Lepisosteus oculatus: one gene and its partner. The protein of the gene in region 1 purifies or fractionates together with the protein of each later gene. This does not show direct contact. Links are inferred from orthologs where the notes say so. Each region holds a gene or a part of one and is shown on either strand. Other genes may lie near its edges.

The links. Proteins that work in one complex are often made in the same cells at the same time.
Region 2: the proteins of cdk7 (region 1) and gtf2h4 purify together in Homo sapiens (affinity purification with mass spectrometry; 7 studies listed by BioGRID and IntAct, with this or other methods). This does not show direct contact. The link is inferred for Lepisosteus oculatus from reciprocal best matches to the Homo sapiens genes CDK7 and GTF2H4.

What each region holds. Positions count from the first base shown.
Region 1 is NC_090698.1:41,758,938-41,766,482, forward strand, and holds the start of cdk7 (cyclin-dependent kinase 7), read left to right. Parts: upstream 1-4,524; 5' UTR 4,525-4,640; coding exon 4,641-4,709; intron 4,710-5,131; coding exon 5,132-5,191; intron 5,192-5,464; coding exon 5,465-5,498; intron 5,499-6,684; coding exon 6,685-6,752; intron 6,753-7,326; coding exon 7,327-7,395; intron 7,396-7,545. UniProt on the Homo sapiens protein: Serine/threonine kinase involved in cell cycle control and in RNA polymerase II-mediated RNA transcription. Cyclin-dependent kinases (CDKs) are activated by the binding to a cyclin and mediate the progression through the cell cycle.
Region 2 is NC_090709.1:40,992,842-41,000,241, reverse strand, and holds the start of gtf2h4 (general transcription factor IIH subunit 4), read left to right. Parts: upstream 1-4,302; 5' UTR 4,303-4,344; intron 4,345-5,419; exon of another isoform or gene 5,420-5,431; intron 5,432-7,400. Other genes in the region: uncharacterized protein, read left to right, coding at 321-370, 1,580-1,717. UniProt on the Homo sapiens protein: Component of the general transcription and DNA repair factor IIH (TFIIH) core complex, which is involved in general and transcription-coupled nucleotide excision repair (NER) of damaged DNA and, when complexed to CAK, in RNA transcription by RNA polymerase II.

The sequences.
Region 1 (7,545 bases):
GATGATGACTCACTCATAACTCATTACAATTACCTTTCTTGAATGACATTATCTTTTCTTTTTACTTTAGATGAGCACAATCAGCTGGTCTCACCATAAACTTCAGTTTTCTGTTCTTTCCAAACTGTTAGACTGCATGCAAGACTCAAAATAGGACCATTAAATGAACAGAAATTACCTTTGTAAAAAAAAATGAAAATAAGAATAACATTATTAATTTCACAAACAGGATATTCATGTAAAAAGTAAATATGTACATATTCAATTCCGTTCAATTTATTTTTATATAGCACCTTTCACAACAAGGTTACCCCAGGGCGCTTAACAATATACTGTAAGTAACCATACATTTTGTGAATACAGAACAGAAAAGACCAGAAGACAACGGAGGAGAGGAACCAAAAACTCCTTAGTAAGGAGATAAAAAAGCTCTAAGGGTCCAAGGTCAACTGGATGCCCAACCCTTTTGGCCATGCTAACATTATATAAGTCAAAAAAAGGAAATAAATGAATGAGGATATTAATCCATCCATCCATCATGTCTTCTGTGGGTCAGTACTCCATGCAGATGTCTGTAGACCAGCAAAATTCTCCTAAACGATAGCTATATCCACAATGTACCTCTTGATACTCAGATATATTTTTCTGAGTATCTTCATATACAGTATGTTACATTTACAAATTCTGCATTATAAATAAATGAATTCATAGCATGTATATCTATTAACATAATCATTGATTTTTTGGGTGAATTCAAGGACACTGCACTCTAATATTTTAATACAGGATCAGAGGGGAATGTCTTAAGCACATCTGCATACTTTCTTTCACATAGAGAGGATACTAAAACTGAAGACAAACATATGTAAATTATGTTCTGTTTACTTATTCATAAATATGGATTAATCTTTTTCAACATTTTACCATTTTTTATGTTTTTCTTTCTAGTAGCAAAAATGCACAAGGCTAACTTTTATTTCCTTTTATTATTCCATACAAGTTCTATGTCTAAGACAGCAGCTGTTAACACTAGTTCACATTGTGACAAGTAGGGTGGGTGCCCTCTCCTGACCAGAACTGAGCCACTCAGAAGGAATTTCACGCAGATGGTACCCTTTAACCCAGTGTAGTCCTACAGTGATAACACCTACTGCTGTTTCCAACCGAAGACAGACGTAAGGAGAGACTAACAGTGCCCCCTAGTGGAATAGTGATTTACTGGATGCCATAATATTAATGATGGAAACTTTTTGTTCCTTAAAAAGTCTAACATCTTTCCCAAAGATTGTATGTTGACACAATAATAACAAATTATTTCACATATTAACAATGTGTTATGTGTATTTAACATCTTTCCTTATGTTTTATGTTGATGCAATAATAATAATTTATTACAGATATTAACAAGGTATCACATGCATTTGCTTCAGATTCAAAGTGGTTCAAACTAGAATTAATTTGACTAAGCTATACTTAATTGCCAAATAAACAGGTTTAATGAATGCAAATAATAATTATCTAACAGTATTGGGCAAAGCAAAGCTAATTTCTTCCATTTTCTTCACATTCCATTATATGCCTTTATTCATTCATCATTAGTATGATAAGAATATAGGAAAGATTGACAAGTGGTTGTTGCTTGGACCATTTTGCTCATTTGGTATTGTAGCAACTCAGTAAATTCAGATGTTTCTTGAAGGAGCCCAGAATCTGGACCTCAGCTTCCTGACACCCTCAACTCTACCCTCAGCTGATAAGAAATATTTACTGATCTCCATTCTCAATCTCCAGAGACCATTAGTTATTCTTGTAGCTCGTCTTTGAACTCTTTCCAAGTCTGCAAGATTCTTGTTTTGGTAAAGTAATTTATATCCATCCAGTTTCTAATCCACTTATCCATGTCAGGTGCACCCCAAGTCTAACCAGCAAGCAACAGGCACAAGGCTGGATATGCCCTGGACATGGTGCCTGTCCAACACAGGGCACACACAGACACAAACATGCACACATGCAATGTGCTTTAAAGGAATCAATTGTCCTTGTTTAAAGAATTTTGTATAGTACGTAAAACAATAGCAGCCTTTTCTAAATCCTTATTGAATGTTTCCTAAAATGCTATTATTTAGCAAATATTTTTCCAGTTTAGCTTTATTGTTTCCCTAACTTTACCAATAACAGAAGTAACTCATTCAAGGGTCAACTTACCCAAAAGCCTACAGTACCAGTATGTCAGTATGGGAGGGAACCAAAGCACGCCGAGGAAACCCATGCAAACACGAGGAGACCATACAAACTCCACACAGACAGCACCCCAGGAAATGAATCCTGGGCCCCTGGTGCTGTGAAGCAGACATGCTAGCTATTTACAATTGTGTCACCCGGTGATTTATACATTTGGTATAACATTAAGTAAAGTACACAGATAAGTACAATGACCTTCCCTTGATTTAACGTCCACATTCATGCTATATACCCCAACATTGTTTGCTGTTCTATTGTTTTCCTATACTGACCTGAGTCCTGAAAACAATAGTCATAAACACCGGATCCCCGGATCCCTTCATACAAAGCTTCCAGCTACGTAGGGTCACCCATGTGACATTTAATTCCCAGCTGCCATATCACCCTGAATCTCACAATTGACAACCCACTCAAGTTAAACAGGTGTGAGCCTGGATGGGAGACCTCCTGGGAAAAACTAAGGTTGCTTCTGGAAGAGGTGTTAGTGGGGCCAGTAGGGGGCACTTACCCTGTTGACTGTGTGGGTCCTAATGCCCCAGTATAGTGACGGGGACACTATACTGTAAAAAGGTGCTGCCCTTCGGATGAGATATAAAACTGAGGTCCTGACTTCTGTGGTTGTTAAAAATCCCAGGGTACTTTTCAAAAAGAGTAGGGTGTCCCATTGGCCTTAACCAATCATGGCTTCCTAATAATCCCCATCTACGAATTGGTTTCATCACTCTGTTCTCGTTGTTAGCTGGTGTGTGGTGAGTGTACTTGCGCACTATGGATGCCATCACATCATCCAAGTGCGGTTGTACAGGTGGAATGGTGGCACTGTGGCTAGGGATCTGTGTCTGTGACAGCAAGGTTGCTGGTTCAAATCCTAAGGCTGGCAGAGGAATCCTACTCTGTTGAGCCCCTGAGCAAGGCCCTTAACCCCAACTGCTCCAGCTGTATAAATAGCTAATCCTGCACTCTTACCTTGAACTTCTCCCTCTGTGCCTGTGTGTCTCCTGGAGAGCAAGCTAGGGTATGTGAAAAGACAAATTCCTAATGCAAGAAATTGTATATGGCTAATAAAGTGATCTTATCTTACATTGGTGGTGGTGGAGGGGAGTCCCCATTACCTGTAAAACACTTTGAGTGTAGTGTCCAGAGTATTCTTATACTTATTTTAAGAATCAGTCTGACTAGAATTCTTTCACTTTAGGATCACTCACTGCTTCATATTTGTTAATTGGCTTTTAACCTGTATTGATATATGACAAGAATTCTACAGATTGAGTTTCAACTGTTTTAGAGAGACTTAGTGAAAAGCTTTCTGAAAACCAAATCACATCGTGTGATTTCGAGTTTATCAGTTGTCCTTGTTGCATATGCAAAGAATTTTAAGCATGATGTAAAACAATATTCTCCTTTTCTAAATCCTTGTTGAATGTCTCTTAAAATGCCATCATTTTGCAAATATTCTTCCAGTTAGCACTACTGTTTCCATGACCAGCCAAAATTAAGATTGATTGGCCTATAGTTTTGTTTTATGAATTGGTGTTTCATTCTAAATGTTCCCTTCTGTGGGTGCAGCTCCCATCTTTAATTAGAGTTGAAATATCTTGGTTAAATATTTATTAATACTATCCCTCATTTCTTTTAGTCCAACTGTGAAAATATCATGTTCCAGTGATTTATTCATTTTTATCCACAAAATAGTAATACCTCAGTGTCAGGTATGCAAAAATCACAATGTTAATGACACTCCTTTTTCTCCACATTTTCTGTTCTCTTCTAGAATTTATTTTTTAAAGTATTTTCTTCAGCTTATGTTTAATATTATGTTTTTGAACTGTAACCATCCCTTATTTCTATTTTATTGCTATTGACTCTGTATCCATCTGCTGACCTCGTGTACGCTGTTTGCACATTCTGCCTTCCTCATTCAGTCTGTTTTCTTTAAATTTAAAGTCTGATTTTGGACTAAACCGTTTAGAGGTTTAAGTGTGCATCAAAGACTGCCATATCATGATTACACCTAATATGTTTATTCTGCGCTGGTTCTTAAAACAAAAAGGTCAATGACAGCGTCTATCCTAGTCCCTGCCTTTGAAAACTGGGGTAAAAAGCAATCATAAGCCACTTCAAACATTGATTTTAGCTTCTAAAAGAGCTAAAATTAAAAATAAAATGTTAAAGAAGGGGTTCTCAATCAGTAGATTAATGTTGATTGATGTTATTTAACATAAAATACTGCCCTCTATCTTCCACAAGACGGATTTTTTTAACCTGGAAGTAGTTGTGATCTGTAGCCAGTGACAATAGTGCGCACGCACAAACATGGCGATCTGCACAAACGCATTAACAGTTTTCTGTTCATCAGCAGGAAGTTGGGTCTCTTAGTGACAGTTGTAAGTTAGGAAGAGATGATGGCCGTGGATGTGAAATCCAGAGCAAAGAGATACGAAAAGCTTGATTTTCTTGGAGAGGGCCAGGTAAAGGGAAAGTTCTTTAGTTTTAAAAAACAACAGCTGAAGTATATATCGATGCATATAGTTGAGCTGTAGCAGGAAAGCGGACACTACTATTAAATTAAAGGTCTCTGTGAAGAATTACACGCTATTCATAAAAACTGTTAGTGTCGTAAGAAAATGTTTTTGAATTTGCATAGCCTACAGAAAGGCTGTTGCAATAAAAACATTTTTTATTGTTGTGTGATACAGGGTTGCTGTAGTTAATTTCACTTGGTGTGAACAAATCGGATAGAAAATAGTTAATAGGATAAATAGGTGCTGTTTTTATATTATTGTTTAGAATTGTTTTTTTTTAAACGACAAATATTAAATGTTTTGCTTGTTGGTTGCAAATAACTGTTTTGGAATGGCTTCCTGATCTATATCACCTCATCTCTTTGCAGTTCGCAACTGTTTACAAAGCAAGAGATAAGAATACAAACACCATAGTTGCGATCAAAAAGGTATTGTTGCTTACTCTTTTCATTTTGAATATAGCTCCATTGTAGTACTCGCAATTTGTCTTCTAAATGCAAAGTTGTCTACCTTGAGACTGTTTAATTGTACATGTGGAAAAAGCAAATATGTTATCCAGAACACTTCGTTTATTGTTTTCGTGTGTTAATTGTCCTCTTGAGATTCTAATTTAATTTTTCTTAAACAGGAATTACAAACAGAATTACTTCGCACTTTAAACGATCCTTTTTGAAGATGCATTTCTAAATTTCTAATTTCAGATTAAAGTTGGTCACAGAGCTGAAGCCAAAGATGGTAAGATGGATACTTACATTTATTATGCTGTTATACCTATTTATTTATTTCTGAAAGGTACATTATTTTGTTAGAATTGTGAAAGATTTAGGAAGACCTTTAAAACTCCTTTAAAGGTGTTGTTTAAATAACCTTAACTTTAATCTAAAATAGTTTTAATTATGGTATACCTATAGATTTGTAAGCAGTGCTTTGACAAGCATATAGAACAATTTCAGCAGTGAATGGGGAGAAATGGTCATTTTATTACTTACATTGGCAATGTTAGCAGTCCACTTTCTTGATCCAGTCAAGCTCTAATTGTTTAAGACAGTCTGATACAAGTTAAGACGCGACATATAGGAGCATAAATAATGGTTTATGTCCCAAGATGGTATTACAGTAAAAAATCTAGTCTAGAAACATGTACACGCACACAAGTATCTTTGAATTAACGAAAAACAATACCTAATGTCTTTGCCATTCTCTGTCAGTAGATATCGACACTTAGGCATTCTGTATCTGTCATCACAAGAATTGTCATTCACATTACCTGGCAATGACAAAAACATTTTTGTTCCCAGAAGTCACCAGCATCACAGTTCTCACACTCATTCTTATTGTTGTGATTTTGTTTCCCTTTTCTGTTACTCTCCATACATTTTTATGCAGCATTTCTTATTTCAGAATTTCCTTATTGAACATAATTTCTTTAATGATTCTCCCAGAAGAAATCGCCCACAATACTTATAGTACTCAGCCATACAATAAGCTCAGTGAGGGTTTTTCCACCGAAAGGTATTTATTACAAAGTGATTGGTAGTGAAAACATTTTTTTGTAGAGATTCTTTCAATGGTTTGGTCACATTTAAACTCATACAGTAATTGGAAATTGATACAATCAGGTATAATCATAATTAAAGTCTGTGTTCATTGTCAACAAAAAAGACTTTCATTTCTGCAATAAAAAAAATACTACAGCAGACCTGTATGTTGTAGAAGAGAGCATTTCACTTCATAGCCAAAGGGTTGCAATTAATTTAGTTATGGTTTCAAGTGCCATTCTATGAATATGATTTTCCCAACAGCCTCTGCCTCAGTGCTTGGCAGCACATAGTTCAAATATTTTAACCAGTGTTGTTTCACAGTGAATCGTAAGATTTTAAATCAAGCTTTCTTATGTATGCAATTACCCCACTTTGCACAGGTATTAACCGAACAGCCCTTCGAGAAATTAAACTGCTTCAAGAGCTAAGTCACCCAAATATAATTGGAGTAAGTATTTAGTTGAGCATTAATTTCTAACGTAATTTGTATTTGTGTGTCTGTTCTTTTGTAGTTTTACTTTTTGTGCTAACGTTTTGGGAGCAACCTACGAATTACCACTGTTTTGTTTTGTGTTGACAATTGATGCAGAATAGTTTTCGTATTTCCAGAATCCATTCTATTTAAGCAATAGGTTATTATACAGTTTATAAATCATGCTATGACAGATTTTAAATCTATTTTCCATGGTGTTTCAGAAGCATATGCAGCTGAACTGAATTTGACATGCTAGCTTAACTGCATTGCAGAGCAGTCCTGAATTGAAAGAGACATAACAGTGCCTAAGCAAATGCTGTTTATTCTTTCAATGTCTTATGCATGCCTTCAAAGAAAAAAGTTAATTGAATACTAATTAAACAGTGTAAAATAATTGATTTTTTCTTTTTTTTAAGGGAGCATTGATGTAACTTGATAATGTAACAGACCAGATGGTTGATTTTTTTACATTACTTGAAGACATAGTAATCTGCATTTTCTTGGTTACTGTACATTATAATATGATTACTTTTCATCTTTCATTAAGCTTCTAGATGCTTTTGGACATAAATCCAATATCAGTCTGGTCTTTGACTACATGGAAACAGATCTAGAGGTAAGGTTTTCTTTTAAAGACTGGTGCCTTGTGTTTGAGATCTGTCTTTCTTACATTTAGGAATTCTAGTGAATGTCTCTTTCCCACAGAAAATTACATCCTTTGCCTAGACTTTATATTCCCAGTTAATCATGAGAACAGAACCAGGTG
Region 2 (7,400 bases), on another chromosome or scaffold:
ATTAGGAAATGTAAATGGCTATCGCGTTTAGACTTGGGTCCCATTTTAGAGACGCAAATATTAAAATATTCCGAAATCCGGTCCCAGGAATTTCGGGGAAGGGATTCTCACCCGGTGTTACTCTAGACTTGGTGGTAGAAACACGGGGCAGCCGGTATGAAACGGTATTAATCCTGTGGGACCGGGAAACGTCATGTCTTCAGGGAAACAGAGAGGTTTCGGGCGCTCGGCGCCCATTGCGCTTTGTGAGGCTGGGTTTGGTGTTGGGTTTTTATCGTGTTCAATTGGTTTTAATTTTTTTTTCTGCTCCTCCGCCCCAGGGGACGCGTCTCCGGAGGACCGACGGGGCCGGAGAGAAGACGCGGGCAGCGTGAGTTGGGTTTTTTATTTTTTTAAATGTATTTATTTTTTTTTTCATTTATGCTTCACACAATAACAACATTCGCAATACAAACAGGAGCACGTCTAACAAGTCAAGACGGAAAAAGACCGTCGGGGGTTGCACAGGACTACATCAATTCGAGCTATGAAAAAAAGATGAAACACCTTCAATAAAAATAACGTTCAGATGTGTGCACTTGGAAATTGTCTGCGAATACCCCCCTTACCTCCGGTTTAAAATGCTCCAACACAGGGGTCTTCCCGGACCACCTCATTTCATGCATATAATAACGTGCCGTTATAATACTTAAAAATTTATTACAAACGACGCAGGCAGCGTGAGTACTTACTTGAGTACTTGTCGTATGAGTACTTTACTAAAAGCGTTATTTCTCCTGTTATTGGGCGCGCTTGAAAGCCGGTCGTGTGACCCGGCCGGCGGTGGTGTTATTGCCGCCAGCGATGGCTGTCTTGCAATGTCGCGGTGCTGGTGAGTGTATGTCCTGTGATGGACTGGTGTCCTGTCCAGGGTGTGTGAGTGTGTGTGTGAGTCCTGTGATGGACTGGTGTCCTGTCCAGGGTGTGTGTGTGTGTGTCCTGTGATGGACTGGTGTCCTGTCCAGGGTGTGTGTGTGTGTGTCCTGTGATGGAGTGGTGTCCTGTCCAGGGTGTGTGTGTGTGTGTGTGTGTGTGTGTGTGTGTGTGTGTGTGTGTGTGTGTGTGTGTCCTGTGATGGACTGGTGTCCTGTCCAGGGTGTGTGTGTGTGTGTCCTGTGATGGACTGGTGTCCTGTCCAGGGTGTGTGTGTGTGTGTCCTGTGATGGACTGGTGTCCTGTCCAGGGTGTGTGAGTGTGTGTGTGTCCTGTGATGGACTGGTGTCCTGTCCAGGGTGTGTGAGTGTGTGTGTGTGCCCTGTGATGGACTGCTGTCCTGTCCAGGGTGTGTGAGTGTGTGTGTGTGTGTGTGTGTGTGTGTGTGTGTGTGTGTGTGTGTGTCCTGTGATGGACTGGTGTCCTGTCCAGGGTGTGTGAGTGTGTGTGTGTGCCCTGTGATGGACTGCTGTCCTGTCCAGGGTGTGTGTGTGCCCTGTGATGGACTGCTGTCCATCACTGTCCATGGACTGAGTCTGAGCGGCGGTAAGGACCGGGCGGTCTTTCTCACGCCCCGGGTGTGTGTGTGTGTCTCCTCTCCTCGCAGGGAGACGCCGGGGCGACGGACTACGCCGCCGTGGAGGTGCCGGTGCTGAGGGGGCGCCCGCGTCCCGGGCCAGCGCCGCCGCCCCCGGGTCTCTACTCGGAGATCTCCTGCCTGCCCGGAGAGGGGGGGCGGGTGTGACTCGGGTCGGGGGGGGAGGAGAGAGAGACTGTCCTGCAGGTCCGAGCCCCGGAGAGAGAGAGGTGGGGGCGAAACATTCTTCTACCTACAGCACTTGGGAGGAATAGAATCATTGTTAAAAGATCGTGAGGTTTTTTTTGTTTGTTTGTTTGTTTCAAGTACAACGAAATCTTTTTGAAACCGTTCATAGGAACGAGGACTGTGCAGGAGAGGCGGGGGCGGCTGGCTCTTTTCCAGTCTCCATCATCTCCCTCTTCCTCCGGGGGGACCGGACCGGACTGGACTGGACCGGACCGGACCGGCGCTTTAGAACCAAACAAAACACACAAAAAAGGGGGGTTTTGAGGTTCGGAAGAAGCGCTCGGGTGAAGAAGGAGACACGGAGGGGAGGGAGAGACTGTGGGGACAGAGGAGCTGGTGTCCGTGTCTCTGCAGGTTTAAAAACGTGCGTGTTTTTTTTGTCTTGCTGGGCCGTGACAGTAGGGGCCCGGGGTCAGTGGGGGTCAGCTCGCGCTGCCGTCTCGGGCGGCTGTGTGGGAGGAGCGCAGACCAGGCCCCTCGCCTCGCGCCGCTCCGGCTACCGCCCGCCCACGCGTGTGGTTTCACTGCGTGCGAGCACAAGACGCGCGTGTCGAGTTCACAGCTTTTAGGGAGTTGTTGTCGGTGTTTTTTTTTGTTGTTGTTTGTTTGTTTCCAGCAGCGTCTAGATCAATCGTATCGGTCTGTACAGACAGACGCGCCACATCCGGGGTAGCTGCGTGTCCGGCGCTATACACGGTGTGTCTGCCCCACGCCTGTTGGTAGCGGGGGCTGTGGGCTGCAGTTCCGCACCTCCCCCCCGCGCTAGATAATGAGCTCGTGTGGTGTGAGTCTGGGTGTCTGGGTGCTAGCAGCAACAGCAGCAGCACAGTGAGGCAGAGGTTCAACTGAGGCGCTGGGGTGTTGTCTGTGTGGAGTTTGCATGTTGTCCCCCCGACGCTATACTGGGGCAGCAAGACCCCACGCAGACCGCAGGGTGAGAGCGCCCCCTGCTGGCCCCACTCACACCTCTCCCAGCAGCAGCAGCCTCAGTTTTTCCCAGGAGTCTCCCCTCCAGGTACTGGCCGGGCTCACACACCTGCTGGGGCTCCAGTGGGGAGAGGGGGCTGCCCGGGGTGCGTTTCAAAATGCCTTATTTATGTAAAAAAAAAAACAATAACCGAAACGTTCACTTGGAGACCTGGAGCACGACACCTGGAGGCGAAAACTTCAATACTTCCGAATCCCGTGAAACGTTTGTACGTAATAAAATGTTTTTCAGTTTCGAAACAAAGACCCATTTGTGTCCAAATTTAAGCACGAGATGGAAGGATATCATCTTGTCCGTGATTTTCTTTCTCTTTGGGTGTGGTTTAACAGCCTCGGTAAACCTACAGTATTATTAATTAGCAGATAAGGACTTTCCGCGACACGGAAGACACGCCCCCTTAGTCTCGGGACTGGGCTCCTGATTGGCTCATGGAAGAGACCAGAGACGCTCCTGATTGGTTCACGGAGGAGACCACCGACGCTCCTGATTGGTTCACAGATAGGCGATGATGGACACTCCCGATTGGCTTACAGAGAACGCGGGAGAGGAGGAGACGGAGCCGTGACATTTTAAGGCATCTTTTCTACGAGTTGCAACCCTTCGGTCCCTTTAAAGAGGGCAGTTTCAGGGTCGAAACGAGGAGGCTCTCTAACGTGCGTTTCGGAAGAGACGGACCGCACCAGGGTTCAGAAATATCTAGTAAGCCGATCACTCCCGATAATGCCCTGTAGGAAACATTTACTGGTGTTTTTTTTTTAATTTAGGCTGTTCGTCACTTAGTTTAGAAACCCCGGCGCACTTTTCCACACCTCCTGGGCGAAACGAAAGGTTTCAGAAGCTGAGTTGTGGGGAAACGTATTTTCCTCCAAAAAATAGTCGGAAGTTTTCTAGGAATCGGTTACGCTCGTAAAGCGAAATGTTTCTTGGTTGGGTATCGAGTCGGAGGAGTTTCTCATAGCCCGAGGAGAGACGACTCATCGAGGAAAATCTCTCTTCGACTGTGAGTGAGACTGTGGTCGGACTTCCTGACGATCATGTCCTTACACCTGTTAAACCCCAAACGGATCGACGCAGTTTCAGTGCCTCAGGAAGGAGAGAAACCCGCAGACACCCTCCACTGAGCCCCTGAAAGGCGAGCAGAGATTCTCCGGATTGGTTCTCTGAAAGGTGACCAGAGGTGACCAGAGACACTGCTGATTGGTTCTCTGAAAGGTGACCAGAGACTCCTGATTGGTTCTCTGAAAGATGACCAGAGACACTCCTGATTGGTTCTCTGAAAGGTGACCAGAGACGCTCCTGATTGGTTCTCTGAAAGGTAAGCAGGGACACTGCTGATTGGTTCTTTGAAAAGGTGACCAGAGACTCCTGATTGGTTCTCTGAAAGATGACCAGAGACACTCCTGATTGGTTCTCTGAAAGGTGACCAGAGACGCTCCTGATTGGTTCTCTGAAAGGTAAGCAGGGACACTGCTGATTGGTTCTTTGAAAAGGTGACCAGAGACTCCTGATTGGTTCTCTGAAAGGTGACCAGAGACGCTCCTGATTGGTTCTCTGAAAGGTAAGCAGGGACACTGCTGATTGGTTCTTTGAAAAGGTGACCAGAGACACTCCTGATTGGTTCTCTGAAAGGTGACCAGAGACGCTGCTGATTGGTTCTCTGAAAGGTAAGCAGGGACACTGCTGATTGGTTCTTTGAAAAGGTGACCAGAGACTCCTGATTGGTTCTCTGAAAGGTGACCAGAGACACTCCTGATTGGTTCTCTGAAAGGTGACCAGAGACACTGCTGATTGGTTCTCTGAAAGGTAAGCAGGGGACGCTGCTGATTGGTTCTCTGAAAGGTGACCAGAGACACTGCTGATTGGTTCTCTGAAAGCTGACCAGAGACGCTGCTGATTGGTTCTCTGAAAGGTAAGCAGGGGACGCTGCTGATTGGTTCTCTGAAAGGTAAGCAGGGACACTGCTGATTGGTTCTTTGAAAAGGTGACCAGAGACTCCTGATTGGTTCTCTGAAAGGTGACCAGAGACACTACTGATTGGTTCTCTGAAAGGTGACCAGAGACACTACTGATTGGTTCTCTGAAAGGTGACCAGAGACACTGCTGATTGGTTCTCTGAAAGGTGACCAGAGACACTGCTGATTGGTTCTCTGAAAGGTGACCAGAGACGCTGCTGATTGGTTCTCTGAAAGATGACCAGAGACACTGCTGATTGGTTCTCTGAAAGATGACCAGAGACTCCTGATTGGTTCTCTGAAAGGTGACCAGAGACACTGCTGATTGGTTCTCTGAAAGGTAAGCAGGGGACGCTGCTGATTGGTTCTCTGAAAGGTAAGCAGGGGACGCTGCTGATTGGTTCTCTGAAAGGTGACCAGAGACACTGCTGATTGGTTCTCTGAAAGCTGACCAGAGACGCTGCTGATTGGTTCTCTGAAAGGTAAGCAGGGACACTGCTGATTGGTTCTTTGAAAAGGTGACCAGAGACTCCTGATTGGTTCTCTGAAAGCTGACCAGAGACACTGCTGATTGGTTCTCTGAAAGGTAAGCAGGGGACGCTCCTGATTGGTTCTCTGAAAGGTGACCAGAGACACTGCTGATTGGTTCTCTGAAAGGTAAGCAGGGGACACTGCTGATTGGTTCTCTGAAAGGTGACCACAGACAGTTTTGTTTTTGGGGCTATAAAAAAATAGGGGGGGGGGGGAAACAGACGTTTCTGATTGGAGCAGCGCCCGTCTCGGTGGGTCGACTGTCCCTCCTGAGCGCGGCCCGGCCGGGCAGGTAGATGTTGTTTTGTTTTCGCCGCCCACGCCTGCCCTGTTGTCTCACCCTCTCGGTGCCCCGCGGGGGCGTGAGAGCAGTCTGCGTGGAGGCGCGCTGTGGCTCTGTCACCCGGCCACACAGATTTCCATCGGAGGTCCCCCCCCCCGCGAGACGAGACGGTTACTGGCTGGTACCCGCGGTGTGGGTTTGGGCGCGTGGAAACAGCTCTCGCCGCTGTGTTGTTTCGACGCTTTTCGACGTAGATTCCTGCCTGCAGCTGCGGTACTGAGACAAGAACTATGCTGCCCTGGGTGTCTGTGTCTGCGTGTGTGTGTGTTCACGGTTTCCCCGATGCCCTGCGCGCCCAAGCCACGCGGGTTCCCAAACGGGATCTTTCCCAGCTCCGTAGAGACCCCGGGTCGTTTGCACAAAAACACACGTTGCAGTGGAAAAAAAAATACAGATCAAGGCAAAGACGATCAGCTTTTTTGTTTTTGCTGATGCGTCTGAGTGTGTAGGTGGGTACAAATGTAAGGGCCTGACACTGTCCAGCACTGGCGGGCTGTAGGAACTGAGTCTCTTCAGTCTGAAGGGAGTGTCCCGCACTGACAGGCTGCAGGAACTGAGTCTCTTTAGTCTAAAGGGAGTGTCCCCCACTGACAGGCTGAGGGAACTGAGTCTCTTCAGTCTGAAGGGAGCGTCCCGGACTGAGAGGCTGGAGGGACTGAGTCTCTTCAGTCTGAAGGGAGTGTCCCACACTGACAGGCTGCAGGAACTGAGTCTCTTCAGTCTGAAGGGAGTGTCCCGCACTGACAGGCTGGAGGAACTGAGTCTCTTTAGTCTGTAGGGAGTGTCCCACACTGACAGGCTGCAGGAACTGAGTCTCTTTAGTCTAAAGGGAGTGTCCCCCACTGACAGGCTGAGGGAACTGAGTCTCTTCAGTCTGAAGGGAGCGTCCCAGACTGAGAGGCTGGAGGGACTGAGTCTCTTCAGTCTGAAGGGAGTGTCCCACACTGACAGGCTGCAGGAACTGAGTCTCTTCAGTCTGTAGGGAGTGTCCCGCACTGACAGGCTGGAGGAACTGAGTCTCTTTAGTCTGTAGGGAGTGTCCCACACTGATAGGCCGGAGGAACTGAGTCTCTTTAGTCTGAAGGGAGCGTCCCGCACTGACAGGCTGGAGGGACTGAGTCTCTTTAGTCTGAAGGGAGCGTCCCACACTGACAGGCTGGAGGGACTGAGTCTCTTTAGTCTGAAGGGAGCGTCCCACACTGACAGGCTGAGGGAACTGAGTTTGTTTAGTCTGAAGGGAGTGTCCCACACTGACAGGCTGAGGGAACTGAGTCTCTTCAGTCTGAAGGGAGGGTCCCGCACTGACAGGCTGGAGGAACTGAGTCTCTTTAGTCTGAAGGGAGCGTCCCGCACTGAGAGGCTGGAGGGACTGAGTCTCTTTAGTCTGAAGGGAGTGTCCCGCACTGACAGGCTGCAGGAACTGAGTCTCTTTAGTCTGAAGGGAGCGTCCCGCACTGACAGGCCGGAGGAACTGAGTCTCTTTAGTCTGAAGGGAGTGTCCCACAGTGACGTGGTGAAGGAACTGAGTCTCTTTAGTCTGGAGGGAGTGCCCCACACTGACACGGTGAAGGAATCGCCTGTACACACTGTGTACCCTTTGTGTGCAGAAGAGCTTGTTCCCCACCCCCCACCACCCTCGGTGTCCTCGATGGCATAACACACCGACGGGGCGCTCTGAAAATTGCGGGGCCTTCGATTTGTCTAACGTCCCCGGTTTCTCCTCCTCTTTCTAAACCTCCCCCATGCCTTTACAATAACATTTACACTTGCTTAGTAACGGCGCCGCCA